7 linked regions of the Oryctolagus cuniculus genome follow. The protein of the gene in region 4 purifies or fractionates together with the protein of the main gene of each other region. This does not show direct contact. Links are inferred from orthologs where the notes say so. Each region holds a gene or a part of one and is shown on either strand. Other genes may lie near its edges. The genes, in order: PITPNM3, RAB3GAP1, RASSF1, VAPA, STK3, VCP and PITPNM1.

Region 1 (4,035 bases), on a different chromosome or scaffold from region 4:
GGAGTGTCCAGGCACGGATACTAAGTACACTGTGGACTATTCCCTCAATAAAGTATATTGCCATCAAGGTTATGTGCCAAGTATTTTAATTATATGGAGAAAAGCTCACACTATAAAAGGTTTGGGATTTAAGTAGAACGATATGCCAAATAGATATGGAGAGAAAGCAGCCTAAAGCGCTGGCAGTGGTTCTCCCCGCGTGGTGGGACGACCTGTTTTCCAAATGCTGCCCGGACTGCATGGACTCAACATACAGGCGAGAGAGACGGGGTTGGGGGGCGACTGAAGCAGAGAGAGTTCTTCTGAGCTGCATCTCCGCTCAGTCCTCCTTTGTACCCTGCATGAACTGAGCCATTTACCCCACGCTGGCACACCAGCTGGGGCCCACCTCGCCTACCCACCACACTGGGGACCAGAGACCAGAAGGCAGGCCCTGGGTCCCCCACAACAGGCCACACGGCCTTCCCACACCTTCCCAGGAATGAGAAGCACACGGCTGGGGAGGCTCCCAGCCTACCCCGTCTCTGCTAGTTCACCCAATTCCCTCCGTGAAGCAGTCTGGGCAGAAGGGGAAGTGGGGGCTCAGAGAGGTGGAGCGGCTGCCCCCAGACTTGCCGCCCGCCAGCCAGCCAGAGCAGGGACAGGGAAGCAGGCCCCCAGGTCTCCCTGCAGGGCAGGCCTCGCAGGGAAGGGCCTCGCGGATGACTGCACCCACGTGCTCTCCGCCCTGGACGCTTTGGTGGAAAGGCCGGTCACCTGGAGAGGAAGGCGTGGTGCTGGGTGATGGCCTCGCAGTCGTAGGTGGAGGAGTCGCTCTGCTTCCGCGGCAGCGGCCTCTTGGGCTCAGCGGCCTCCGCCCCGCTGGACAGGTCAATGTTGCTCTTGCTGCGCCGCTTGCTGCCGGCCAGGCTGCAGTCCTCGTCCACCGCCCCCGGGGCGTCCTGTGGGACCGGGCAGAGACGGGGGCCCGGCCGTTACCAAGACCCCGGGCCCAGCCCCGGCCCAGGCCAGCATGAGCCCCTTCCGCGCCAAAAGGCACGCCGAAGCCCCCGCGCGGGCTGCCTCCTACAGCCCCAAAGACAGGAGGCCGGTGGGCCAGCCTCCTGCTGGCCTCATTCTCCAGCTATACTCCCGGAGGAGTCCCTGTGTGCGTCCCGGTGCCAACATGAAGGACAGCACCAATTCCCGCCCCCCACCCCGGGTGGGGCAAGGGGCGGGCTCCCAGGGACACAGACCCCGCCCCGCCCCGCCCCGCCCCTGCCCGCACCTGCGTGCTGCTGATGCTCCCCTTGCGGCTGCTGCTGCCGGGACTGTCCCCCGAGGGCCCCGCGCTGTAGCAGATGGCGTCGAAGGCCAGGAGGCCGCCCACACAGTCCCCGATGAGACACACCTGGAAGAGGCAGAGCTGGGGCTGCAGGCCTGCCCCCCTCCCCCGCCAACCCCCACCACACCCAGCAGGAGCAGAGGGTACCCATCCAGCCAGAGACCAGGGAAGGAGCTGTCCTGGGAGGCACCACGTGGGGTGCTCCTCCAGGGGGTCAAGGGTTAACCTCGGCCTGGGGGGCCAGCCTAAGCTGGCCATCCGGCTCAAGCCAGGGACCAGCGTGGGCTCCAAATGAACACTCCAATCGTCGTCCTCAGTTTTCCTATCTGTAAAATGAGGGCAAACCCCAAGAACTTGAAAGCCTCCTGCGATCTCAGATGCTCTGGTTCCAGAATGGTCTGTGTGGGTCCCCCCGGGGCAGGGCCCAGCCTCTGTCCCAGCGCAGGCTGGGCCGGGTCGGGCAGCCAGGCTGTCCTACCTGCCCACTGAAGCCAACGCCGTCAGCGGACCTGAGGAACTCCGTGTACACCTGGTTGGCTCGCTCGATGACAGTGGCGACAGCATCCTGGTACTGCGGGGAGGAGATGGCCAACAGGGGCAGGGCGGCCAGAGGGACATGGTCCTGGCTGTGGCTGAGGCAGCCCTCGTCGTGGCTGTAGGGGTTCAGGCTGCAGACAGGGGCCCAGGGTAAGCCCAGCTGGGACCAGGCCAGAGGGCAGGGTTGGGGCTGAGGACCGGGTAGAAGACAGCACCTGCTGGCCAGGCATGGGGTCCTCGGCCCCAGGGACCCTAGAGGAATCCCCGGGCAGGAGCTGTGTGTGTCAGAGCCCAGGCGGCAGTGGGGGCAGGGACCCGAGCCTGTACTGAGTCCCCGGTGTCCATTCCTGGGGTCTCCTGCAAGAACAATGTCCTCTTGCCCTCTTCTGCGTGCCCCCAAGGACACCCCAACTGTGGGGGATGGAAGCAACTGAGGAGCCAGTTGGCAGCGGTCAGGGCAGGGGCCTGTCCTCACGGCAGACTTCCTGGAGGAGGTGGGCTTGGCTGCCAGGCATGGGGATCCCGAGGTGATCACAGCTCAGAGGCTGTGCACCCACGCCGTGTTCACTGTGTGGGGCTCCCCCAGCTCTGGGGGACATCTGTGACTACGGAGAGGGCTAGGAGGGCGGGTCCACCCACGTACTCACCCCTGGGGCTCCTCTGGACTTTGCAGAGGCGCTCCTCACTCCCTGTCTTCCCACCAGGAAGTCCCTCCCTCCCGCCCTCCCCGGGCAGCTCGGATCCACGAGACCCCCCCCCCCCCCGCCAGGAGCCCGCCCTGCCTTCTCCACCTGTCTTGGTTCTGTCCCCTGGGGCTTCTGTCCCAGAGGCACTGCAGAGCGAGGTTCCCCCCAACCCAGGCCCAGAGCCTGCCCATCCCCCATAGTCCAAGGGTGACGTAGGGCCCAGGGTCGGGGACCCTCCAGATCTGGGGCACGCAGCAGAATCCCCACGGAGTGCAGGGCCAGCCCCACCAACCATTCCTCATCTCAAAAGAGCTCAAATTGGAGGAAACAGCTTCAACCGGAGCCAGAGAGATTTTAATTAGCTGGGAACACACTCCTTCCCAGCAGTGACGGTGGCTGATTGATGGGCCTGGCCGGGGGCTGCCTGGGGGTCGGGTAAGCTCCTGGTCACCGTTCCCTCAAGTGGCCTGGCCATCTGTCTTCCCAGAGACAGGTGTGACCCAGCTCTGGAGGTCAGAAGGCATGGGGGCCGGGGTAGGGGGCGGTTGGCGAGAGAGGAGGGTCCTGAGACTGATTTTGAAGCAGCACAGTTAACTCCGGGATCGTCTGGGCTCCGCCATCCGCTCAGCGGATGCCCGCTGCAGAGCGGGCGGCCAAGATGCAGATTCCAGGGCTCCTCCCCCTCCTGACTGGGCCTCTGCAGGGGCCGGGGGGCGCTGCCGGACATCCCCACCAGGGATCTGGGACGCGAGCTACTGACCTAAGCCCCTTCCCGCCTTCTAGCTCTGAGCGCTGCCCCGTGGGGGTCCCAGGGACACAGATCACCCACCCGGTGCGGGCAGAGAGGGGACTGCGCCTCAGTGCCGCATCTGACGGACAGCACCGGCTCCCGCTCTCCGGGGGCCCTGGGAGCTGCCCACATAGCCCAGCTCTCTCAAATGGGAGCTCTGGCAGAGTCGTGCTGGGGGAGGGGCCGGGGGGCAAGGACCTTCCTCCCTTCCCCAACTCACAGGGCTGCCAGCTTCCAGCTTCCCGGCCCAGCGAGTGGGGCCCTTGTGACACAGGTCGGCGATGAGGAGCCCGTGTGTCCGGCTGGCTCCACACACCTGGCACTGGGGGAGCTGGGGGTGGGACCTAGGCCCCAGAGGAGCCCCTGCTCTCTTGGTTTGTCCCCCAGGCATCGAGCGGTCACCAGGGGCTGCCCTTGACATCCTGCCCTCCTCCTCACTGACAGGGAGATGCCAGCGAGCAGCGCCGGAGGCCGCTGATGCCAGTCCCAGGCGGGGTGTCCCCACACGCTCTGCTTTCCATGCACACCAGCGTGCAGGGGCCTCACCCCAGCTCCAGAGCTGCTCCTCACTGTTATCACCCCCATTTTACAGATGAGGAAACTGAGGCAAGGAGAGGTGAAACAGTTTTCCCCGGGTCTCTAATCCAGGCCGGTAAGAGGCCACACATTTCACCCTGTTATACACTCAGAAGCCGCCT
Region 2 (4,035 bases), on a different chromosome or scaffold from region 4:
ATTTATCAAAAATCAGGAAAATAAAATCTAAAACACTTATTTTTCACCATTATAGACAAAAATTTCTATGATTCATAACATCAATTATTTAAAAGTAACATCAATTATTTAAAAATTCAAAGTAAAATACTACAGTTGTGAAGGTCTTGTTGTCTAGCTGGTTACAAATTCCCCAAGTCTAGAATGATAGTTGACATATATTAGGTACTTGTGAAAAGAAAGTGAGGAAGGAAAATTGGAGAGAGAATTGTTATTCCCTTAACATGCAGCACAGATGAAAGTTTAAAACAGATGCAGCTTTTCTGAAAAGGAAGTTAGTAACTCATATGTAAGTTTACCCAGCAATTCCTTTTCTCATTATCCTCCTTAAAGCAGCACTCATACAGGAACACACAAGGTACAAATAAAACTGGCATAGAACAAATACTGTGATCAAAAGGGGAATGGTTAAATGAACTACAAAACTCTTCTAAGCCATGAAATATTACACAGCAATGAAAAATTAAGGAGTCTACAATGTAGTAACATGGAAAGATCTTCATGACATATTTGTTAAACAAAATGTTACACACCAGTGCACACATTTAAAAACAAAAACAGGCTGGCATCATGGAGCAGCGGGGTTAAGACAAAGTCATGCTTCAGTTCTTGTACCAGCTACTCTGATCCAGTCTCCTGCCAATGTGCCTGGGAAGGCAACAGAGGAAGGCCACCCACATGGCAGACCCAGCTTGGGGGTTCCAGGCTCCTGGCTTCCGCTTGGCCCAGCCCTGACCATTGCATCCATTTGGGGAGTGAAGCAGCAAATGAAAGATCTGTTTCTTTTTTTCCCTTTCTCTGTCATTCTGCCTTTGAATAAATCAATCTTAAACACACAAAAACCAAAAATAAGTCCATAAAATATCTATCAGTATGAGGGTATTTCAAAAAGTTCATCGAAACACGGAATTAAAAAATGTTTGACAAAAAAATATTTTAAAATCCACGATTTTTTCATAATACATGTTTCTTTTTTTTTTTTTTTCCATTTTAAAGATTCATTTATTTATTTGAAAGCCAGAGTTGGGACCAGCGCTATGGTGCAGCAGGTTAAAGCCCTGGCCTGAAGCATCGGCATTCCATATGGGTGCTGGTTCTAGTCCTGGCTGTTCCTCTTCCGATCCAGCTCTCTGCTATGGCCTGAGAAAGCAGAAGATGGCCCAAGTCCTTGGGCCCCTGCACCCACATGGGAGACCTGGAAGAAGCTCCTGGCTCCTGGCTTCGAATCCGCACAGCTCTGGGTGTTGTGGCCATCTGGGGAGTGAACCAGCGGATGGAAGATCTCTCTCTGTGTCTCTACCTCTCTCTGTAACTCTTTCAAATAAATAAAATGAATCTTAAAAAAAATAAATAAATAAAGCCAGAGTTATAGGAAGAGAGGCAGAGACAGACAGAAAGAGAGGAGAGAGATCTTCCATCCACTAGCTCACTCCCCAAACAGCCACAACAACTGCGGCTGCAGCAGGCCAAAGCCAGGATTCAGGAGCTTTTTCTGGGTCTCCCATGTGGGTGCAGGAGCCCAAGGACTTGGGCTATCTTCTGCTGCTTTCCCAGGCCATAGAAGAGAGCTGGATTGGAAGATGAGCAGCCAGAACTCAAACTGGTGTCCACATGGGATGCTGGTGCTGCAGATAATGGTTTAACCCAGGACACCACAGCACCAGCCCCATTTCTTGACCTTTGATAGGATGACTCATATGCATGAAATTCAAGGCTTTTTGGACCAAGATGAATTTTTGATTTTTTCATGAACTTTTTGATATGTGTACCAATGCCTAGAAACGGGTGTAAGAAATATAATCCAAACCAAAAACAGAGGTTACTTTTAGGGATTAGAGATGAGTTACTGGGTACTGGCTTTCATCTTTTTCTAGATTGAATTTTTCACAACATAGCTATTTATTATTTACACGAAAACAAATCAACAAAAACTCTTCTTCCTTAGGGTTGGCAATGTTGCTGTTCTATGTCCTAACAGTATAAAATTACTCCAAAGTATATTTTTGAAGCGATGAATAATTTTTGTTTTTTCCTTTCCATATTTTTGGATTTTGTCTTCAAACACTTGTGTATCTACCACTCAATTTAAGAAATAGATACCCTATGCATGATGAGATACTATCTACTTATAAACTTTAAAACATTTCTCAAATTCAAACATGGCATGACCTAAAAAATAAAATCTATTTAGATTTCAAATCTTAAATCTTTAAACATCAACTTTTTATAAGGAATTTCCCTTACCCTAAGATATCAGTTCCTACCAGAATGAAATTACATACATAAAAAAATAAACTGAGAAAGCCAGTGCATCCTACCTGGGTAACTGGAATGTAGAGAGGTTCTCCGTTATGCAGCAGTGTAAGTTTCCCATGCTGATGGAGACGTCCTTCTGGCTTTAAATTTGCCATCTCCTTAGGGGCTCCTTTCTTGCCACTGTCTTGTCCATTTCCCTTAAGTTCTTCAGTATCACTTAGGCACTCAAAAAATTCTTCTTCACTGTCACTCCAGGAATCCCAAGACTTTCCCATCTCTCCCTTCTCCTTATCTGCATCATTGAGATTATCTGGCCCCAGCTGGTCTCCAGTTTTTCTAGCATCCACTGACCATGTATTAGTGACGTTATCTGAAGTGCTTGTCTTTTTCCCCTCATCACGGGCCTTCTTTCTTTCAATACAACAATTTAACATCTTAAGAAAACAAAAATAACACTTATAGTTGAATTAGTTACACAAAAATAAAAATCTATTCACCACCTGAATAATTCATTCTCTGACCCTCACCCCTGATGTGAATCATCAGTGATGATAAGCAACAGACAGCAGCACAATGAGAATAGCCTATAATGCATTATTCTATTAAGTATTTGAATAAGCTCTGATGAAGTCAAGACCACATTTATATAGTCTGTGGGACATCTTTACCTGTAGTTTCTGATGTAGTAAACAACATCTTAGATCTGGGGGTCCACTTGCTAATCTATCAAATAAAATAATGAGAAAAGAAAGTTAAGTTTTAGTAAAAATGCTTCAGATATACTTATTTTTTATAGTACTAAAATTTTTAGCTCTATTGATAAGCAATCAAAATCAGATTTCTATAGGTAGGGTAACTAAGATCCAGATGGGGAGTACATTTTAATGAAAAAACCAACATTCATTTTATCCTCCTAGTCTAAAAATCATCAACAGCAAATTTAACATTATTTCAAAACATAGTGACAAACTAGTGATAGTTTTCAGGTTAATACAAATTTAAAATGAGAAAAAAAATCTCCAGATTTATTCCTGGAAATAGCCAGCATACAATATTTCATATCATACAAAGTCAATCAGTCTATATATTCAGTTGTCAATTATCATAGTGGATTCTTACTATAAAAACCAAGAATTCTACCTCTGTTTTGCCAAACAGACCCCATACTGTCTCTAGTCTTTAGCTGCTAGGTTCCCAGCAAGCTGGGCAATTCTCCTTCACATTGTATACACTTCTGGGTTAGTAACAGATTCCAGAGCAAACTGGTTAAAGCTAGGAGTGAATCCAGCTACACAAAGACTGGCAAATGAAAGACCATAAACATTTCTGGATCAATCACCATTTTATATTTTCATATCATGATTCTCCACAGCAATAGACATGCTAACTAAAATCTTTCATTTGATTAAGTAAAACACCAAAATATAACTGTACCAAAATTATGGGTAATGTTTAATATCTGAAATTATAGTGAAGTCTAAAGATGTTTTCCCTCAAAACAAAATACATGTTATGGCTTAGAAAATACATAATACATATTGCTTAGAAAACTACAAAGATTAAAATAAAAATACATATAATTGGGAAATATGTTATCATTTGACTGTATTTTCTCCAAACATTTTTCTATACGTGTGTGTGTGTGTGTGTGTGTGTGTGTGTATATATATATGGGCATGACTGAAAGCACATGGAGAAGGGGTTGGCACTGTGGTATAGCGGGTAAAACTGCTGCCTGGG
Region 3 (4,666 bases), about 32 Mb from region 4:
GGACTTCCCTTCGGCGCCTCCACCCCACCCCCCACCCCCCTTCTCAATTCCCGGCGAGGACTCCTCCCCTCCCACTTCCTCCTCCAGTTCCCCCGGGGAGGGAACGGGCGCGCGCAAACGCGGAATCCAGGTGCCTGTCTACACTGCACAGTCGGCTTGAGTCAGAGGTGGGGAATGCCGCTCTCCGCTCTGCCCCAAGCCACACAGCTGCTCCTCCCGGTTCTACCGGTCAGCGACGCAGCGAGCGCGCCTCGCACCCGGCACCGAGGCGCCGGAACCCACTTCTGACCCTAAGCCGAGAGCCCGACACACGGTGCCGCGCCACGCCGACGGGAAGCCGGGGTTGCCCACCCGCTCCCGCGGCGGCGGGTCGCCGGGGAGGGCGGCGTCCCAGGGGGTCAGCACCCGCGGCCCCCACCTGGTCCCGGCGCGGCCTGCGCGCCAGCGAGGTGCGCGCCGTGAAGTACTGCTCGAGCTCCGAGTCCGAGTCCTCTTGGCTGCAGTAGCCACTGCTTGTCGTGCTGCTCCAGGTCATCTCGAACGACGGGGTCTCCGCCTCGCCCATGGCCGCGCCAGCCCGGTGCCCCCGTCCCGCGCGTCCGTCCCCTCCAACCTCCGCCCGCGGCGCGTGCGTGCGTGTACGCGTGGGTCGGTGTGCGCTTGCGCCGTCCCCCGCGCCAGCTGCAACCGTTAAGACTGAAACGTAGACAGCTGGGCCCCAGCTCTTGTCTCATTGGGGGAGCAACGTGGAGGGGCGGCAACCGCTCGGGCGTCTCCGCCTAGAATGACCTCACCGCCCAGGCAGCTCCACTCAGCCCGGCCTCGGAGGCCCCACCTCCCACGGGAGCGCGTCCGCGTGTGTGCGCATGTGCACCAACGTCGCCTCGGGCCCGGAAGCGGGTGTGGGATGGTGTGCGGAGTGCGCGTGCGCTGAGCCTGGCGCGCCTCGGCGGCCGTGGGATGACTGCCCGCGGGGCCGCGCCGAGACCGGACCCCCGGGCCCCCCTCCAGGCCCACGCGCAGTTAGCCACTCTCTGGTGCCGGGCACTCGGCCATTAGAACGCTCGCGCTGGCCCTGGGGCTTCCTTGCCCGTCTGTGCTTCCCGCCATCCCGCCCCTTGCTCCCCTCGACCCCGCGCTCACCACGTTGGTGTCCCGCTCCAGCGCGGGTTCCCAGCCCAGGTCCCGGGGCCCGCAGCAGTCCAGGCACACGAGCGCGCGGCAGCGGTAGTGGCATGTGAACTTGCAGTCTGCGGGAGAGGGCCGGCGGTGAGGCTCCCGCCGTGGCTCCGGTACTGCAGAGGAGCCCGGGGCTGCGGGCCGTGGCCCGCCAGGCTCTGTGTACCCGGCCTCGCTACAGCCTCTAGGGTGGATCCCGTGCGTCTGAAAAGCTCCGGGCGGTTAGGGATGCAGGCCTGCTCAACGGCTGGGTCTGTAACGTCTAGCGCGGAGTCCCTCCTCCCACCACGCTCGCACTTCGAAGGAAAAACCTTTAACCCACGTCCCGTCTAGTACCAGCTGTCTCCTCGGACCGCAACACCCGTCCACACTAGCGTCTGGCCTTCCCCTCCCTTCTCTTACCCCTCCGGCCAGTCTTCCACTTCCCTGCAGCTCCCCTGCCGGTCTACGGTCGCCTGCCCCAGATCCAAGGTTCAGTCAGCACCAACCTCCCCCTGTGAGCCAGGACCTTCACAGACATCTCAGACACACACGGCCAATGTTTAACTCACTTGCCTCCTGGGTCTCCTACCTTTGCCAGGGTTCTTCAGTAAAAATAGCCACTGTTCCCCCAGCTGTTTCAGGCAAAACCCCGAATTCACCTATGGTCCCTCCCTTCTCTCTCCACACACAAACTATCCTGTTTCTCATCACGGTTGTCACTTGATTTCGCCTCCAGAGCAATGAAATATCCTCTCCCTTGTCCCCCACCCCCACCCAGAGCCTGCACTGAATTCCTGACAGGCACCTGTGCCCGGTGCGAGGCTCTCCACCTGCACACAGGCCTGAGCCCTGCCCCCACCCCCCAAGTTCCTAAATAGGCCTCAGCAGTGATTGTCAATCCAGGCTGCACATTGAATAACCTGGAGGCTTTTTAAAAGAAATTACTGATGCCTGGGCCGCTTCCAGCAGCTGAAGCAGGATCCAGCACAGGGGGTTGCAAAGCTGTAGAAGCTCCCTAGGCCATTTTAACTGGCGCACTGCCGGTGAGAAAGCAACCCCTACGTGAGGCCTGCGCAGGTGTAACGGGTTCCATGTTCACCTGGCTCACGGCCTGAAACAGGTGTTTGCTACAGACTGACTCAGGTCCCCCTGCTTGCGGCGGGGAGGGGGCTGCCCAAGTTCCCAACATTCTCCATCCCCTGTCCATTGCCTGGCACAGTTTCCTTTCACACCAGGGTTCTGGAGGGGGACCCGGCAAGTGAATCCCTGGGAAGAGACAGTCTGGGAGTGCGGGTTAGAGGACAGTAGGCACAGAGCCTTTCTCAAGAAGGGCCAGGGGCCTTAAAAGACAAGAAGCTTCCAGTCAGCATCCGTTACTCATGGACAGAGGTGGCTGCTCCCCTGTGCCCCAGCCGCGCGCGGGTGGACTGCCAAAAGGGGTAAACCAGCCCCTCTCCCCACCCCGCACTCTCTTTGGTGATGAGCAAAGGTAACGGACCCGGTCCGCGGGACCGTCCCCGCCAACCACCTCCACCGAGCCTGGACTCGCAAGCAGCTGCCCCTCGGGTACCCATTCTGCTCTCGCTGGTGTGCGGGGCCGCTACTCACGCGCGCACTGCAGGCCCTTGCGCACGACGCCCCAGATGAAGTCGCCGCAGAGGTCGCACCACGTGTGCGTGGCTGGGCCCGCGGGCTGGAAGCGGTGGCCGCGGCCGGGGACCAGCTGCCTAGCGGGGTTGCGCGCGGTGCCAGGCGCGATGCGCAGCGCATTGGCACGCTCCAGCCGGGTGCGGCCCGGGCCGGCCCGGCCGGCGGGTGCCAGCTCCCGCAGCTCAATGAGTTCAGGTTCCGCCGACATGGCCCAGTTGGGCCGGGGCTTCGGCCGGCTCTGGGCGCTAGCGATCTCGAGGCGGGCGGGGCTACAGGGCGGGCCGGGACTTCGGCGCCGCCCCTAGGATCCAGGCTGGGCGGCGGGAAAAAGTCGAGCAGAGCGGCGCAAGCGGCGCAATGGAAACCTGGGCTCGGGGACCGTACTGGCCCGCAGGCGGGGCGGGTCGGACGCTCTCACAGAGCTCCTGCCCTCTCTCTCTCTCTCTCCTCCCCTCCTTCACACCCGCTCAGGACGACAACGACGACCGCGACCGCAAAGCGTAACACCAAGACTGGCGTGTGCCTGGGGGCCAGCTTTATTGTGCTACAGGGAGAGGGTCCCCACATCCGGCTCCCTTCCAGTGTGCTGAGGCAGCGCCCTCCGCCTACCCGCGGGTGGGGCAGGAAGTGGGGGTGGGGGTGGGTCAGCAGATCTCTGCTGTGCGCACCAGCGGCAGGAGCCAGATGAGATCGTGAGGCTTGGGGTGGGTTGCCTTGGCCCGGGTGGTTGGCCGTTGTGCAGGCAGGCACAGCCCTCACTTGGCTCTGTCGCCCTGCCCAGCCAGGACACAAACCTTCCGGTGCTTCTCCCAGTGCTTGACTTGGCACTCCCTGTTGGCAGGGGGGCTGGTGAGGCTGGCAGTGTTTGTGGGGGACACAGGGGTGGGGTTCAGGGGTCCGCGGTCCCAGCAGACCTCACCTGCAGCAGTACCACTCATTCTGGCATCTCGAGCAGCGCTTCGAGGCCTCTGCGCTGCAGTAGGCACAGCGAGGTCGCTCCGGAGCCACCGCTTCGAGCACATCCAACCTGTACGTCTCAGCCCACCTGCCGGAGGGTCACGGGGCCTGGCTGGGCCTGGCAGGCGGGGGCCGGGGGCACCCCCGCTCACACCCATGCCTCTCGGCTCCCGTTGGCGCCCATCCCCGCTCAGCAGGCCTGACCTTGCTGCCTGCAGCCGCAGGTCGTGCTCCGAGGGGCTGAACACGTGTTGCAGCTGGTGCTTGGCGATGGCCTGCCACATGCCTTTGTTCTGCTGCTTCAGCCGCTCCCAGATTTCCGGGATCTAGGAAAGCGAAGCGGAGAGTAGCCGAGGAGGAGCTGGCAAAGTGGACCGTGGTCCCGAGCAGCGGGCTTCCCACGGCGGCCTACCTGTTCTAACACCAGGTCCTTCTTAGGGGTCTGGGGCTCGACCAGGGCCAAGTGGGCCAGGAAGTTCTTCAGGTCTGCCAGGTTGGGCAGCTGGTCCAGGAGGGTGTCTGTGAGAAAGGGCCGAAGCTGCAAGGGAATCCGGGGGAGGCCAGGGTGAAGCTGGTGCCGGCCAGGGGACCGGGGCCAGGGACCAGGGAAGGCCTGGGCTGGGCTGAGGGTACCTGCGGGGCCTGTGTCGCATTGGCTGTGTCACCTGAAGCTCAGGTCTGGAAGGAGGACTTGGGTGGGGGTGGGGAGGGGATGGGATGGGGAGGGGTGGCGCTGGGCTGGAGCAGCTGGTGCAGGGGAGCCCCCTACCTTGAGAAGCTGTCCCTTGGCAAAACTCGTGAGGCAGTAGCGGGCCCGGGCCTCAGAGCTCAGCAGCAGGTTGTACAGGGCGATCCACACCTGCCCATCCAGCTTGCTCAGCTTTTGCTGCTCCGAAGG
Region 4 (4,035 bases):
TCTTTGTAATACAGAATGACATGGAACCTAGCAAAGCTGCTCCACTGAATGCATCGAAGCAAGATGGACCCATGCCAAAACCGCACAGTGTTTCCCTCAATGATACCGAAACAAGGAAGCTCATGGAAGAGTGTAAAAGACTTCAGGGAGAAATGATGAAGCTTTCAGAAGAAAATCGACACCTGAGAGTAAGTCCTGTGGATTGAAAATAAGTTGTAAATAAGTTGATAGAAATGAAAGTGAAGGAAATGGGAATAGCTAGGCCATTTTGCTCTGGTCTTTTTATCGCTAACCCTACCCCTTTTAACAGTCTGACCATGGCTTCTCAAGACCCACCGTCCTTTTCCTCAGCTGTCACCCTGGAAGCTGTGGCTGGCCTCAGCATTGTTTTGGCCCCTTTTGCTTCTTCCCTTCTTGACATTCTGTGCCCCAGCTGTGCAGAACTGTCTAGGACTTCCCTGTCCTCCACTGTAGCCACCCTCACGTGGGAATGTCAGCCAGAGATGTACTGTGAATGTAAAATACACCCTGATGTTGAAAACTTAGAACCAGGAAGAGAAACGCTTTTTAAAAATATAGTTACATATTTAAAAATTTTGAAAGTATTGATAAAATATTTTTTACTTTTTTTAAAATTTGAGGGTAGAGGTATTATTTGAGAGACAGAGAAAAGGGTCTTTATCTGCCAGTGCACTCCACAAATGGCCACAGTGGCTGGAGCTGAGACGATCCAAAGCCAGGAGCTCACTCTGATTTGGTCTCCCATGTAGGCACAGGAGCCCAAGCACTTGGGGCATCCTCCACTGTCTTCCCAGGGCATGGCAGAGACCTGGATTGGAAGAGGAGCAGCTGGGACACAAACCAGCGCCATATGGAATGCTGGCGCCAAGTCAGAGGCTCAGCCTACTACGCCACAGCGCTGGTCTCCTAATTTTTTATTTTTTACAATATGCAGTTAAAACATGTAAAATGATGTATGCAACTCATACTTGAGGCTTATATTTGTGTTGGGCAGTGTTGGGCTGAATTACTTGACAGAGCCTGTCTTCTCACTCTCACATTAGCAGGAGCTCCTCCTTCTGACTGTACGGCCCTGAAATCTTGTTCCTAACCACAGAACACATACACGTGCATTCACAAAGGCACTCCGTTTTCACCCTTTCAGTCTAGTTTTCTCCCTCCACAACAAGTAAGATGGCATTGTATTTGTCCTACACAGCTTACTACATTTCTGCTCTTATTTGTTGGAGATCTTTCTCCCTTTATTGGACAATGATTTCCTTGGGGACAGACTGTTTTATTGTCTGCGTTCACAGCTCGTGCATGTAGTAGTCATTTCATGTATTTGAGTGAATAAGGGAATGGGCTGGTGAAGGAGGACTGATGTGAATGGGGTCTGTGAATCATTTGTCTCTAACAAGTGATTACTTGGTTCAAGATCTGAAGACCTTTACATTGCTTTTTAGGCCTTGAAAGTTTTCATATCAAAGTAGATGATACAAAGGTTATTTAAGCTAAGTTCTGGGAGTTCATCTACATTTGATGATTCCTTCTGTTAAATGTGTATAGGAACTGTACTCAAAGGCGCTGTATCTAGAGTTGATGTGTGAACTCTAAAGGATTTGTGATTCGAGTTTCTGTGACTCTTCATACTCCATAGTACCTCCTTGAGGGCTGTCAAGCCTTAGCACTTGTATGGATAGTGGGAGCACTCTGTTTCCCACTCACACTCCTTGGACTTTAAGGATGCTATTCTTTGTTTTTTGCCTATAATGACTTCCACATTTTGTTCTTCTATGAAATATGTGTTCCTTAGGGTGCTCAGTAGGTTTATATAAAAAGCTGCCGATTGTCTCTTGGCTTGGAGGGGAGAAGTGGAGACTAGGGTGGCACAGGACTGGAACTAGGAAGACAGAATGGGGAGGTAGAGGACTGAGACTTTATTCCTGGTCTCTGCTCTATATTAGGGGTGGGGAGCATCCAACCCGTAAAATCTTGTGCTGTGGCCTTGCCAAGGCAACTGCAGGTGGGACTTGAAATTCAGTAAATCTATAGCAAAGTTGATAATTTTGTATGGTCTTCAAATGATGGTAGAAATATCCAAATGATCCGTGGTAGAGAAAAGATTCTGCATCCCTGCTTTCCATGGTGCTACTCTACATGAGATTTTATTTGAAAGAAAATCCTGCTATTTAAAAACCAAAAGAACATTGAAGACCACTGGCTTATAGAATTGGGTTCAGGCCCTTTTGATATTTCATTCACAGATACATCTCAGTACTACTACTTTTTTTTTTTTTTTAAGATTTATTTATCTGGGCCGGTGCCGCGGCTCACTAGGCTAATCCTCCGCCTAGCGGCGCCGGCTCACCGGGTTCTAGTCCCGGTCGGGGCGCCGGATTCTGTCCCGGTTGCCCCTCTTCCAGGCCAGCTCTCTGCTGTGGCCAGGGAGTGCAGTGGAGGATGGCCCAGGTGCTTGGGCCCTGCACCCCATGGGAGACCAGGAAAAGCACCTGGCTCCTGGCTCCTGCCATCGGATCAGCGCGGTGCGCCTGCTGCAGCGCGCCGGCCGCGGCGGCCATTGGAGGGTGAACCAACGGCAAAGGAAGACCTTTCTCTCTGTCTCTCTCTCTCACTGTCCACTCTGCCTGTCAAAAAAAAAAAAAAAAAAAAAAAAAAAAAAAAAAAAGATTTATTTATTTATTTATCTGAAAGAACTACAGAGAGGGAGAGACAGATCTTCCATCTGCCCGTTCACTTCCCAGATGGCTGCAGTGGCCAGGGTAGGGCTAGGCTGAAGCCAGGAGCTTCCTTCGACTCAGATCCGTGTTCCATCCCCAAAGCCATAGGTCTTTGAAAAGATTTTTAGCTCTCATTTCTGTGCATATTTGCTTTTAAAATCTGTGTTTTCTTTTTTCCTAGGATGAAGGATTAAGGCTCAGAAAGGTAGCACATTCGGATAAACCTGGCTCCACCTCAACTGCATCCTTCAGAGATAACGTCACCAGTCCTCTCCCTTCACTTCTTGTTGTAATTGCAGCCATTTTCATTGGATTCTTTCTAGGGAAATTCATCTTGTAGAGTGAAGCATGCCGAGTGCTATTTCTTTTTTTTCTCTTGACCAGAAAAGATTTGTTTACCTACCATTTCATTGGTAGTATGGCCCGCGGTGACCATTTTTTTGTGTGTACAGCGTCATAATAGGCTTTGCCTTTAATGATCTCTTACGGTTAGAAAACACAATAAAAACAAACTGTTCGGCTACTGGACAAATTGTATATTATCAGATCATCACTAGCAGATGTCAGTTGCACATTCAGTCCTTTATGAAATTCATAAATAAAGAATTGTTCTTTCTTTGTGGTTTTAATAAGAGTTCAAGAATTGTTCAGAGTCTTGTAAATGTTATTTTAATAATCCCTTTAAATTTTATCTGTTGCTGTTACCTCTTGAAATATGATTTATTTAGATTGCTAATCCCACTCATTCAGGAAATGCCAAGAGGTGTTCTGTGGGGAAATGGTGCCTCTTACAGTGTAAATTTTCTCCTTTACCTTTGCTAATATCATGGCAGAATTTTTCTTATCCCTTGTGAGGCAGTTGTTGACTGAGTTTTTTCATCCTTACAATCCTGTCCCATGGTATTTAACATAAAAAAAAATAAAACTGTTAACAGATTCTTGCTCGATAGCCTGTTTGTGTCTGTCGTGTCATTGAGGGGGAGGGTGTCAGGGTGTCCACTGTGTAGGGTAATTTGAAATTTATAATGCTAATTTTGCTCTTGCATTGAAAGTTTTTTGGTTGTTACAGTATTTGTAATTAAAAGTTCTCATTCTCTTAAGGAAAGCAGTTGATGATGTTTCAAGCTATGTTTGATATTTTGGGAGATCATAATCATTAGTTTGTAAAAAAATGAGATAAGCAATGCCAGGAGAATAAAAGTGCTGTACTTGTAGTGAGGTTCTCGTATGCCATGGACTGCCTTACCTTTACTCCATCCTTATCATGTTCTTCTCAAGGAAGACTTATTCTCCT
Region 5 (3,217 bases), on a different chromosome or scaffold from region 4:
TAACAACAGGGTATAACATTTATTTGCTTTGAAAATAGAATGTGATCGCCTGGTCCAGAGTTTAAAAATGAGGACTCTCATTGAGAGCAAAGCAGTCAGAGTGGCTAACAGGCCTCATGGATTAATTTGCATGTATTTTCCAATTTAGCAAACTGAAGAGGCATCATCTTCACAGGCCACCTGCGTGTGTGTCAGAGATGGTTTTGCTTGGATGACAGCAAATCAGTCATTCGATTCAACCAAATCAGGCAGGTATTGGACAGGTGAGTGAAAAGAAAATCTATTAGGAAAAAAAAGGGTAGAGTGTTTGAGTTGATCAGCTCATCTGACGATCCCAAAAGACCTCAATCAAGGGAGAGCTGAAACATATATTCTAAGTTCAGTCTTCATTTTTAATAACCTTTTTTTCAATATTCATCACGATTTTTCCAATCTCATCATTTGTATCTAACTGCATTGGTATTACCTGGGGCACTCATGCATCTTCAAAAGGAAGGGGAGCTTCCCAGGGAGGATGAACCTCCTGTGGCAGGCATCACTGAGCTCACCTGCCTGTCCGCCCCGCCTCCCTCTGCAGGGCTGCACGCCGCACTTCCCAGCTCCTTGCAAAGTGAGGGAGGCCTCATGACTCGTTCTGAATACCAGGTTGCTGAGGACCGGCAAGGCTTTCCTGCAGGCTGGAGCTGGCCTGAGACTCGCCCCAACTCCCATCCCTGGCTGTGATGACCACAAGGTCCCCGAGTGTGGATGACAGCAGCAGAGCACCGCCCACGTGGGATGGGCTGAGTGAGGAGTCGCCATGTTAGTTAATAAAAACCCACGTTAGTGATAATAAAGATAACGAGATGCAAAGTGCTGGGTGAAGTGTATTTGTCTTCATGATTTCCACGTAGTAACCGAACACACCAGAGTGAACACTGTCAGCACAGCTACAGGCAGCTTAGGAAACGTGGTCCCAGCTCAGTCTCACCAGTGCGCATTTCCCTTGGAAGTGAGTTTCTTTGTAACGGTTTTAATCTTTTTTATTTCCCTAGTCTCCAAGGCTTGCACAGTCCAGTACAAATGTTTTTGCTATTTTATTATCAGGCACAAGATGTTTACCAATTCCTAGGAAATAAATGAAATCAACAAAAAGTCCTGTGTCAATAGAACGCATTTCCATGGAAATAAATTTGATGAGCTATTACAGTTTGATTCAGTTTAGCTATCAGACTTACACATGAAACACAAAACAACGCTAACAAAGTACATTTGTCAAAAGGTTTAATTTCCTTTAAAATATTTCCCATGCTTTTTTGTGCAAGGGTTCCACTGATTTCTTTGGTTTTAAACATTATAGCTCTGTTTGACCTAAATATATATAGTTCTGTTTGTAGCAAACATCAAAAATCAAAACAATTAAACAAAATCTCAAAAGGTAAAAATGGAATTATTGCTTCAATATAAAAAATGCTCTATCCATTTGGGCACTATTACTATTATTGCTTTGTTGGTATTGAAAAACTATCTTGGAAATCAAGGAAGGTAGCCCAGAGCTCCCTGCTGGAAGTATCATTTTGTTGTGCATCATTATCTATTAAAATGTCCCCACCTGCTCCTACTCTATCCTGATCTTGTCCTTAAAAAATAAGACAATGTGAAATAGCATAAATAAATAAGTTTACCTAGTGAGATACAATAAATAGGCTACTAGATAGGAATAAAAAGTACTGTGACATAAAGCCCTTCAGTGCTGTACAATGGAACAATAGCTTTGGATTTTCAAGGTCTCTACACATAGCCTTTGTTCTAGAACATGGTTTTGCTGCTGGTATGCAGTGGGCGGGGGGGCGGGGAGAACACACTTCTGGTCACTTAAAGATGAGAACACAGTGGAAACAACTGGAGAGTCTGCCTTTAGTTACCCGGGTATGTACCATCATCAGTTTTGGACTTTGGCCTAGAGCGTAAATCTAAGGGATTAAGAAGACAAAAAAAAATCACAATGTTCCTTCAATTCTTAGTGGTTTCTTGGTCTCCAGAATAGCCATGGAAACAGGAAAAGGTCGGCTCAGAAGTTCTGCTGCCTCCTCTTCTTGGCGTCCATGGCGTCCAGGATCGGCTGCCTCTTCACGGTGTAGCGCTGTCGGAGCTCCTCGATCTCCCGCTCCATCATGGGGTCCAGCGCCTTCAACCGCATCTGCAGCTCCTCTAAACTCAGGTTTTTTAACTAGACAGAGAAGAAAACAAAGATGTTACTGTAGTAAAACCACCTACTGTATGTCCAAGACTAAAGAGTTTTAGCATAAATATTTCAGCAAATTCTTTACAACGGTTTTGAAGTATGGTTCAACAGCTCAAACAGGAATCCATTCCCTAAAGAACCCAGAAGCCAGATCTTGTAAGAATCTCAAGTAATTTGCAACAAAATGATCAAAACCTCTGCTTTTGGGACAGAGCAAAGGAGAAAAATGTATCTGTTGAAAAAAAAAAAAAAGGCACAAAGACAAACCCGCCAACAAACAGGTTGTTGGGTGGCCTGCCCAGCTCGGAGCGGCAGAGGCCTGGCCACGGGCAGTGTCACCCCAGGAATGTCCCATGAGGCCCTGGGCAGCGCCATGATCCTCCATGTGACCGTAAGTGCACATTTTAAGCACAGTCGGGAAATCCCATGGCGAGCCTGATAAAACATGGTTTTAAATGAGCGTCCCCGGTGTGCCAGCCTGGTACGAACAGCGCTCCCCAAGTACTGCCGTGGGCCTGGCGCGTGTGGACACGAAGCAGAGCGCGGCCACGCTGGGGGTATGGACAACGGCAGAAGACAGGTCTCACGTCACGTGTGTAAGAGCGATAACATCTATTCTGAGGCATAATAGGATTTATGGCATTTTGCCAAGCTTTACTGTATCGATTTCTATGTTGAAACAGCAAGATATGGATTATCTCCTGAGAAACACATTTTAGGGATGTTGTCTAAGGGCTTATGAGATGTCCTGAAATATGTCACTGAACGTGCTTTTATCTTCTTAACATTAAAAAAAATCTAAAACCCTGTTTCCTTTCAAATTGAATATTAAAGCAGAGGTAGCAGGCAAGTGGTTTAAAAAAGACACAAACTTTGCGACTATGATGATTTATAGAATGCTATTCAGATCAATACGTACTGTGGCGTTAAGAACTTAGAAATGAGCTGAGGGTAACACAAGGATAAACAGTTAAGGATGGACGCGGGCCCTGT
Region 6 (4,035 bases), on a different chromosome or scaffold from region 4:
CAGGGATTCCAATATCTACCTCCCTGTCAAAGCGACCTGTGGGACAGTGTGTGAACATAGACAGGGCTCATTTCTGGACCAGAGGGAAAAAGGAAGAAGCCTAAAGTGACTGATCATCTCAGTTAACTCAGAACTGTACTGGCATTAGCACTGAAAGTCCTATGTCTCTGGAAACCCCTCAGTCTCAAGCCAATCAGGATGGCTGGTCACTCTAGACAGGATACAGGATACAAGGACCCTTGTGCCCTACCACTGCAAAAAAACTTCAAGGAATCCTCATAATCAAATCAGGTGACTCAGATGAAGGATAGAGATTAAACTCAATAGATCTATAATCTCTCTATGAGCAAGGAAAGGGTGAAGGAAGCTGGAGTCCTTACCAAACCGTCGCAGTGCCGGGTCAATGCTGTTGGGTCTGTTGGTTGCTGCCATAACTATCACGTGTGCCCTCTGCTTTAGTCCATCCATAAGGGTCAACAATTGTGATACAATACGCCGCTCCACCTCCCCGTGAGTCTGGCAGGACAAATGTCTGGTCAGAAGCAATGTTAGGACCTTTCAACCTCCCACCATTCCCTCGGGTAAACTCCTACTTTCTCTCTTTTGGGAGCAATGGCATCCAGTTCATCAATGAAGATGATGGCAGGAGCATTCTTCTCCGCTTCCTCAAAGGCTTTACGAAGATTGCTCTCAGACTCACCAGCCAACTTGCTCATGATCTCAGGACCTGAAAGAAAACAAAATGAAGACAATGATAAAATTACAACCTTTCCCAGTCCCAAAATAAATCAGTTACCTTATCTGCCCTAGGATAGGTCCTGGATGAGAAGATACTAACTTCCGTCTACCTTCTCACCAATGCCAGCTATCACCCAGGACAGCCACAAAGCTGGGGTAGAGAAACCAAGCACATTTTTTTCAAAGTGTAAAGGTCTCTGGCAAGAGCAGGAGACATCACACAAGCTGGATCTCTACAGCTTAACATTCTCTAAGAGACAGGTGGTGTTGGCCCATCTTCCCTAAGCCTCTCAAATAGGCATCATACCTTTATTTTATTTTTTTTTTTAATTCCAACTTGCTCCCCCTTAAATATCTTGGGGCTGGCATTGTGGAGTAGCAGGTAAAGCTATCACCATGCCACACAAGCATCCCATATGGGAACCAGTTCACGTCTCAGCAGCTCTACTGCCAATCTAGCTCCCTGCTAAAGGCCTAGAAAAGCAGTGGAAGATGGCCTAAATGCCACCCACATAGGAGACCCAGATGAAGTTCCTGACTCCTGGCTTCAGCCTGGCTCAGACTGGGCCCTTGTGGTCATTTGGGGAGTAAACCAGCGGATGGAAGATCTCTGTCTCTCCCTCTCTCTGTAACTCTTTTAAATACATAAATATTCCTTACAAAAATGTACACAACTTTTTCTAGGTTGAGGGGAAAAGACAAAAAGTATCAGTATAAAATATCTCCCACTTGGCCGGCGCCACGGCTCACTAGGCTAATCCTCCGCCTGCGGCGCTGGCACACCGGGTTCTAGTCCCAGTCGGGGCGCCGGATTCTGTCCCGGTTGCCCCTCTTCCAGGCCAGCTCTCTGCTGTGGCCAGGGAGTGCAGTGGAGGATGGCCCAAGTGCTTGGGCCCTGCACCCCATGGGAGACCAGAAGCACCTGGCTCCTGCCATCGGATCAGTGCAGTGCGCCAGCCACAGCGTGCCGGCCGCGGCGGCCATTGGAGGGTGAACCAGCGGCAAAAGGAAGACCTTTCTCTCTGTCTCTCTCTCTCACTGTCCACTCTGCCTGTCAAAAAAAAAAAAAAAAAAAAAATCTCCCACTTGTTGCTGACCTGTCTATAATGTACCCCAGCAAAAGATGCTAAAGTGTGCATGAGAGCATGGCTGCAAATGGATGTTATCAATGAGCTGTTCAGGCCAGGGCTAGTTCTAGACAGACACAAGACAAATCAAATCTCTTACCATTGATCAGGAAGAAGAAGGCCCCAGTTTCATTTGCCACAGCTCGGGCAATCAGGGTCTTCCCTGTTCCAGGAGGTCCATAGAGCAGGATTCCCCGAGGAGGCTGGGGACCAACATAAGAGCAATTAGAATTAGACTCCTGACTTCTCAACGCCACTCACCTCAAACTGGCTTGACTAGGACTCTAGAAAGGGTGAGAATTAGAATTCAATTCTGGGAGCCGGCACTGTGGCGCAGCAGGTTAACGCCCTGGCCTGCAGTGCCAGCATCCCATATGGGTGCCGGTTCAAGTCCCAGCTGATCCACTTCTGATCCAGCTCTCTGCTGTGGCCTGGGATAGCAGTGGAAAACGGCCCAAGTCGTTGGGCCCCTGCACCTGCATGGGAGACCCGGAGGAAGCTCCTGGCTTCCGATTGGCACAGCTCTGGCCGTTGCAGCTAATTGGGGAGTGAACCATCGGATGGAAGACCTCTCTCTCTCTGTGTAATTCTGACTTTCAAATAAATAAATAAATCTTAAAAAAAAAAAAAAAAGAATTCAATTCTGACACCATTAAGAATGAGCCTTTCATAGAAAGGTAAGACATTGTGGCAAAAAACGTTCTACATGAAGGATCTCTGTTACTGAGACCCCAGCAGAAAGAAGTGGCCATCAAAGAAGGATGTACTCTACTCTAAAGGGAGAACTTTCACTTTGCTTGTGGCCTTGTCCAAATATTGACAAAGTTTGTGAACTCAAAAGGCTTCCATAGCCTAGGTAGCTCATGTCAAGAGCCTCGGGTAGTCAATGACATCATACATAAGCACTGTTAATAGTTAAATCAACAACAAGAGTCACTGTGCACTAACTTCCCATGCAGGACCTCTGTCCTCAGTGAGTTGTATATCAGAGTTAACTGTAAAACTAGTTCTCAGTTTGTATGTGTGTGTGCAAATTGTTGAAATATTCTGTGTACAAAGTTAATTGAAAATCAATCTTAACGGAGAATGGGACTGGCAAGGGGAGAGCGAGGAGGAGGAGGAGGAGGAGGAGGAGGGGTGGGAAGGTGGGTATGGTGGATGGTGGGAAGAATAACTATATCCCTAAAGTTGTACAGTTGTACTTATGAAATTTGTACAAAAAAAAAAAAAAAAAAAAAAAAAAAAAAAAAAAGCCTTGGGGGCTGGCGCTATGGTGCAGTGGGTTAAGCCATTGTCTGCATATGGGTACTGGTTCAAGTCCCAGCTGCTCTACTTCTGATCCAGCTCCCTACTGACACACCTGGGAAGGCAACAGAAGATCGCCCAAGCAGTTTGGACCCTTGCACCCATGTGGGAGACCTGGATAAAGCTCCTAGATCTGGCTTCATCCTTGCCCAGCCCTGCCCACTGCAGCCATTTAGGGAGTGAACCAGCGGATGAAGATCTCTCTCTGCAATTCTGACTTTCAAATACATAAATAATAAACTTCAAAAAAAAAAAAAAGAACAATAAGCCTTTGGTACAGCAATTAAGACACCCCTTGGGATGCCTATATCCCATTTCAAAGTGCATGGGCTGGAATCCCAGCTCCACTTCCAGCAACCTGCTAATGTGCACCCTTGGAGGCAGCAGTACTTGGAGGCTCAACTACTTGGGTGGCTGACACTCTCGTGGGAGACCTAGATTGAGTTCTAGGTTTCTGGCTTTAGCCTGGCCCAACCTTAGATGATGCATTTGGGGAGTTAATCAGAAATGTAAAATCTTTCTGCCTTTCAAATAAAATTAAAATAAATATTTAGGGGCCGGCGCTGTGGCACAGTGGGCTAAAGCCCTGGCCTGAAGTGCCGGCATCCCATATGGCCACTGGTTATAATCCCAGCTGCTCCACTTCCGATCCAGCTCTCTGCTATGGCCTGGGATAGCAGTAGAAGATGCCCCAATTCCTTAGGCCCCTGCACCCACGTGGGAGACACGGAGGAAGCTCCTGGCTCCTGGCTTCAGATCGGTGCAGCTCTGGCTGTTGCGGCCATCTAGGGACTAAACCAACAGATGGAAGACCTCTCTTCTCTCTTTATCTGCCTCTCCCCTCTCTGTGTAACTCTTTCAAATA
Region 7 (4,035 bases), on a different chromosome or scaffold from region 4:
AGCCAGGTCTGGCCGGTGCCCCTGGGTGGGCGCGGCCCCTCTCCCACCCCCCCTTCCCTCCCTGCGGGGCCGGGCGGGTGGGCAGTGCAGTGGGCTGCAGGCGGTGTTTATTTCGTGGGTCTACACACACGGGAGAAGCCGCTGGGCCCTCACCCACTCCCTCCTCGCTCCCCCGGGGCTGGGTCCCCCACAAAAGGGAAGTAACACCAAGGGGCAGACACAGGTGCAGGGGCGCGCCCCCTCCCCCCCCCCCCCCCCCGCAGCCCTGGTGTGCTTTGGCGAAGGGCGGGGTCCTGTTCACTCTTCACTGTCCAGCTTGAGGCTGACGCTCCGGGCTTTGCTGCGGGCCAGGGCGGTGGGCGGGGTCCCCGGGCCCTCGCGCTCCGCCTGGCTGGGGCCCCTGGAGCGCAGCAGCTGGCTCTGCTTCCGGAGGAAGTCCACGGGCGCAGCCACGCCGTAGCTGCTCTTGGCCAAGGCTGCCCGCGGCGGTCCTGGGGCCGCGTGGGCGTGGGCGCCCGCCTCCAGCTGGCCCAGGTGGGCCACGTAGCCGTCCGACAGGAACTGTGGGCAGAGCGGGCAGGGGTGAGGTCCACGCAGGCTCCTGCAGCGGGGTGGGGTCTCTGGCAGGCCCAGCACAGCCCACCCTGAGGCCGTTGGGTACGCAGGGAGCCCAGGGTGTCCTGGCTTCACTACCACGTCTGCCTCCCTCGGGCCTCAGTCTTCCCGTCTGGGAATGGGGTCTTTCTGCCGGTATCTGGCAGGCCCTTGCTTTGTGCCCGTGGCTGGGATTTTACAGGTTGCTGAGGTCAAGGCCACCGTCAGGCCGTGAGAGTGGGGGAGTGTGCCTGGCGTGCCCTGGCCTGGGTCACCGCCCAGGTCAGCCTGGCTGGGCCAGGATGGCCGCGAGCCCGTCCTAGGAGGAACCCAGGGTCCCCGAGGCCCTGCACGGGCGCAGTGGTCCTCACGGCCTCGGGTGCAGGCTGCTCGGCCCTGGCAGGGCCTGGCTCCCCTCACTCCCTGGGCCCTCACCTGACACTGTGCCTGCAGCTTCCGCACCGCGCGTCCCACGATGTAGGTCTGGCTTGGGGACAGGCCCAGCGCCGCGTACACAGCCACATCTTTGGGAGACCCATAGCCGGCCACGATATTCAGTTCCACCTGTGGTGGGGAGGCCGGGCAGGTGGAGACAGAAACAGGGTCCCAGCCGGTCAGGGCTGGGTGCCCAGCACCGCGGAGCCCCCTGCCGTGCCCCAGGGTCTGCCCCCCCCCCCCCCCCCGCACACCTCCTGCACCAGGCTCTGCAGGAACATGGCCTTCTGGCGCAGCGGGTCATGGCTGAGGCCGTCGCAGAAGGAGACGACGCCGTGGGGGAAGTTGTGCTGGGACAGCCAGGCCACCACGCGGTGCTTCTGCATGTCCGGCCGGCCCGTCACGTATAGGATCAGGTAGCCGGCGTCCTGCCAGTGCCTGCGGAGCACGGTTTGGGTCAGCGCCGCCGGCCACACGGGCGCCGCGGGCCTCGGCGGCGAGCAGGGTGGCGGCTCCTACCTGACCACATCCACGGCGCCGGCGCGCACCTTGGGGTCGCTGCCCATGATGGAGACGCTGGCCGTGAAGGAGCCGTCGATGCTGAAGACCACGGCCTCTGTGCCACGGGCCACGACCGTCAGGCAGCACTCGGCGTACGTGTGGTCGCCCCTGTAGTCCATGGGGCCGTGAGTGGCCCGGGGCGTGGCCGGCCCCAGCCTGTCCCCAGCCCTCCGGAGCTCACCTGACCACCATGCGCACGGGGTAGACGCCGATGCCCAGCGCACGCTCGGGGGCCACGGGGAAGGTGAGGCGGCCCGAGCTGTTGGTGACCTCGGTGCCGAAGTGGATCCACTTGCCCGACAGCGGCTGCGTCATGATGTAGACGTCCACCTGCGGGGGCGGGCGGGGAGGTCCATAGGCAGCCGGCGCTGCGCCAGGGCAGACAGAGGGGGAGCAGGGCCTCGGGCTCCTGACCTTCTCCCCGGTGAGCGTGACCACGTCCAAGGGCCCGTACATGAAGCGGCCGCTGAGCACCTGGGGGCGGCCCTCGCACACCACCGTGTCGCTTGCGCGGTGGTTGGAAGTGACGTTCTGGAGGCAGGAGACAGGGTGAGTGCGTGCGGCCCGGACAGAAGGGGGAGGCGGCGCTGGAGGGGCTCCCCGGCGCCCACCCCGCGGAACGGGCCTGGGGGAGACGTTTGGGGACCCGGCCCCTGGGATCATGGGTGCCTGTGTGTGGACAGCGGTTCTGGTTCCAGACCCGCAGCTGCGGGGCGCGGCTCCTGGGGGCGGGCGCAGGGGCAGGACACGCACCCGGATCTTGACCTGCGTGCGTTTGCGCTGCCACTTCTCCCGGGGGAAGGCCGGGCTGTAGACCGACGGCTCCTCGCACTCCGCCAGCTGCGGCCGCTCCTTCTCAATTACCTGTGGGGCACACGGGGCGAGGCCGTGTGACGGGGGCGGGCCGGAGCTGATGGGCGCTGCGCCGCCCTGGGCGCCGGGGACCCCTCCGCAGGCCCACCTGGCGCAGGATGAAGGCCACCACGTCGGCCGACTCCCAGTAGCTGGCGTGGAAGAGGTGGGGCAGGGTGACGGTGGGGAAGGCGGTGAGCGCCTCGGGGCAGTACAGCGAGTAGTCGATGCGCTTGGTCCCCCACCAGCGCTCCAGGACTGCACACGGGGCCGTCAGTCAGGGTCTGCCCGCCTGTGCAGGACTGCTGCACGCGGGGCTGGGCGGTGGGAGTGAGCCCGCTCCCCCCAGGCCGGCACCCGTCTTACTCTTAACCACCTCCGTGGTGGTGCTGGGGGCCGCTGGCTGGGCGGGGGGCTCAGCGCCTAACTCGCTGCCCTTCCAGAAGCTTCCGCCGGCCGAGGTGGGCGTCGAGGGCACCAGCGCGTCCAGCTCCTCCAGGAAGAGGCCCGAGTGTGCCTGCAGAGTGTCGGCTGGCGGGGCGCCGCGAGCTCAGCAGCGGGCCCTGCACCCCTGCCCGCCTCCCTCCACCCCCACGGGTCTCAGCTGAGTGGAAGTGGGGGGGCGCTGTCTCCACCTTGGCTCACCCCAGGAGGCAGCACCCCACACGCACACCTGTCCCCACACAGCCCCACTGGTCTCGGGGGCCGGGGGACAGACCAGGGGGCCCACAGGCAAGTGCACCTGGAGCCCCAGACACAGCGACCACCCGCTCACGGCCGCCCCGATGCCCGCGTGGCAGTCTGGCTGAGCCCCCACGGCTGCCCCGGGGCCTGGACACAGCTCAGGGGCTCCGAGGGATCCAGAGGGCACCCACACTGCGGGAACTAGCACCCGCCTCCTTCCCCGTCCCCTCTGCCTTGCCTGGGGGCATACCCAGCAGCAGGGACGAGCCGTCTCCCAGGGGAAACTTTTGGTAACGGGGCACAGCCAGTGGGGCGATGGCCTGGAACTTGGGGGCCAGCAGAGGCTCCAGGCGGGAGGCGCAGGGGTCAGCGGCGTGGAAGAGGTTGTAGATCTGCTCGCAGGCCGGCCGCATCTGGGCCACTGGGCACCCAGGAGATGGGGTGGGAGGAGTCAGTCTGGGGGCGGCGGCCAGTGACAGGCTCCTCCCGCTGCTCCGGCCAAGAAGCGATGGGAGCCTTCGGCTCAGGATGACACACTCCTGGTGCCCGCTGACCCCCATCTCGGGGAGCATCTCGTGGGGGGCATCTGGGAGGGGACAGGCAAGGGGAGCCGGGGAGAGGGGCCCCCAGGCTCACCCTCCAAGGCGGGCATCACGGTCTTGCGCAGAGCCAGCACCAGGCCCAGTGGGGAGCCGAAGAGAAAGAAGCCGGAGACCTTGAAGTCAAGGCGGGCAGCGCCGGTGGGGCCGTCGGGCGCCTCGGGGCCGGCAGCAGCTGGGCAGGAGGCTGTGCTTGCCCGGCGGGGCTCCCCGGAGGCGACAGCAGGGGCTGCCTGCAGGCTGCGGGGCAGAGGGGCGCTCAGGGCGGCCGCCTCCCGGGGCCTGCGGCCGGGGCAGGGGCGAGGCCACT

What was found.
Region 1: the proteins of VAPA (region 4) and PITPNM3 purify together in Homo sapiens (co-immunoprecipitation; 3 studies listed by BioGRID and IntAct, with this or other methods). This does not show direct contact. The link is inferred for Oryctolagus cuniculus from reciprocal best matches to the Homo sapiens genes VAPA and PITPNM3.
Region 2: the proteins of VAPA (region 4) and RAB3GAP1 purify together in Homo sapiens (affinity purification with mass spectrometry; 4 studies listed by BioGRID and IntAct, counting the BioPlex papers as one, with this or other methods). This does not show direct contact. The link is inferred for Oryctolagus cuniculus from reciprocal best matches to the Homo sapiens genes VAPA and RAB3GAP1.
Region 3: the proteins of VAPA (region 4) and RASSF1 purify together in Homo sapiens (co-immunoprecipitation; 3 studies listed by BioGRID and IntAct, counting the BioPlex papers as one, with this or other methods). This does not show direct contact. The link is inferred for Oryctolagus cuniculus from reciprocal best matches to the Homo sapiens genes VAPA and RASSF1.
Region 5: the proteins of VAPA (region 4) and STK3 purify together in Homo sapiens (affinity purification with mass spectrometry; 4 studies listed by BioGRID and IntAct, counting the BioPlex papers as one, with this or other methods). This does not show direct contact. The link is inferred for Oryctolagus cuniculus from reciprocal best matches to the Homo sapiens genes VAPA and STK3.
Region 6: the proteins of VAPA (region 4) and VCP purify together in Homo sapiens (affinity purification with mass spectrometry; 3 studies listed by BioGRID, with this or other methods). This does not show direct contact. The link is inferred for Oryctolagus cuniculus from reciprocal best matches to the Homo sapiens genes VAPA and VCP.
Region 7: the proteins of VAPA (region 4) and PITPNM1 purify together in Homo sapiens (co-immunoprecipitation; 4 studies listed by BioGRID and IntAct, counting the BioPlex papers as one, with this or other methods). This does not show direct contact. The link is inferred for Oryctolagus cuniculus from reciprocal best matches to the Homo sapiens genes VAPA and PITPNM1.

Annotation. Positions count from the first base shown.
Region 1 is NC_091448.1:50,078,340-50,082,374, reverse strand, and holds part of PITPNM3 (membrane-associated phosphatidylinositol transfer protein 3), read right to left. Parts: intron 1,993-4,035; coding exon 1,803-1,992; intron 1,391-1,802; coding exon 1,268-1,390; intron 942-1,267; coding exon 757-941; intron 1-756. UniProt on the Homo sapiens protein: Catalyzes the transfer of phosphatidylinositol and phosphatidylcholine between membranes (in vitro). Binds calcium ions.
Region 2 is NC_091434.1:108,467,488-108,471,522, forward strand, and holds part of RAB3GAP1 (rab3 GTPase-activating protein catalytic subunit), read right to left. Parts: intron 3,019-4,035; coding exon 2,964-3,018; intron 2,730-2,963; coding exon 2,358-2,729; intron 1-2,357. UniProt on the Homo sapiens protein: Catalytic subunit of the Rab3 GTPase-activating (Rab3GAP) complex composed of RAB3GAP1 and RAB3GAP2, which has GTPase-activating protein (GAP) activity towards various Rab3 subfamily members (RAB3A, RAB3B, RAB3C and RAB3D), RAB5A and RAB43, and guanine nucleotide exchange factor (GEF) activity towards RAB18.
Region 3 is NC_091441.1:98,976,785-98,981,450, reverse strand, and holds the start of RASSF1 (ras association domain-containing protein 1), read right to left. Parts: upstream 3,169-4,666; 5' UTR 3,020-3,168; coding exon 2,770-3,019; intron 1,824-2,769; exon of another isoform or gene 1,582-1,823; intron 1,251-1,581; coding exon 1,144-1,250; intron 1,087-1,143; exon of another isoform or gene 566-1,086; coding exon of another isoform or gene 419-565; intron 1-418. Other genes in the region: ZMYND10 (zinc finger MYND domain-containing protein 10), read right to left, coding at 3,356-3,642, 3,731-4,094, 4,181-4,306, 4,538-4,666. UniProt on the Homo sapiens protein: Potential tumor suppressor. Required for death receptor-dependent apoptosis. Mediates activation of STK3/MST2 and STK4/MST1 during Fas-induced apoptosis by preventing their dephosphorylation.
Region 4 is NC_091441.1:67,121,620-67,125,654, forward strand, and holds the end of VAPA (vesicle-associated membrane protein-associated protein A), read left to right. Parts: intron 1-14; coding exon 15-188; intron 189-2,922; coding exon 2,923-3,081; 3' UTR 3,082-3,690; downstream 3,691-4,035. UniProt on the Homo sapiens protein: Endoplasmic reticulum (ER)-anchored protein that mediates the formation of contact sites between the ER and endosomes via interaction with FFAT motif-containing proteins such as STARD3 or WDR44.
Region 5 is NC_091437.1:124,029,243-124,032,459, forward strand, and holds the end of STK3 (serine/threonine-protein kinase 3), read right to left. Parts: intron 2,210-3,217; coding exon 2,051-2,209; 3' UTR 849-2,050; downstream 1-848. UniProt on the Homo sapiens protein: Stress-activated, pro-apoptotic kinase which, following caspase-cleavage, enters the nucleus and induces chromatin condensation followed by internucleosomal DNA fragmentation.
Region 6 is NC_091432.1:198,025,048-198,029,082, forward strand, and holds part of VCP (transitional endoplasmic reticulum ATPase), read right to left. Parts: intron 2,069-4,035; coding exon 1,966-2,068; intron 728-1,965; coding exon 594-727; intron 517-593; coding exon 381-516; intron 37-380; coding exon 1-36. UniProt on the Homo sapiens protein: Necessary for the fragmentation of Golgi stacks during mitosis and for their reassembly after mitosis. Involved in the formation of the transitional endoplasmic reticulum (tER).
Region 7 is NC_091432.1:4,587,738-4,591,772, reverse strand, and holds the end of PITPNM1 (membrane-associated phosphatidylinositol transfer protein 1), read right to left. Parts: intron 3,966-4,035; coding exon 3,763-3,965; intron 3,548-3,762; coding exon 3,377-3,547; intron 2,974-3,376; coding exon 2,809-2,973; intron 2,701-2,808; coding exon 2,552-2,700; intron 2,455-2,551; coding exon 2,344-2,454; intron 2,122-2,343; coding exon 2,005-2,121; intron 1,921-2,004; coding exon 1,772-1,920; intron 1,699-1,771; coding exon 1,549-1,698; intron 1,468-1,548; coding exon 1,284-1,467; intron 1,159-1,283; coding exon 1,030-1,158; intron 562-1,029; coding exon 298-561; 3' UTR 91-297; downstream 1-90. UniProt on the Homo sapiens protein: Catalyzes the transfer of phosphatidylinositol (PI) between membranes. Binds PI, phosphatidylcholine (PC) and phosphatidic acid (PA) with the binding affinity order of PI > PA > PC. Regulates RHOA activity, and plays a role in cytoskeleton remodeling.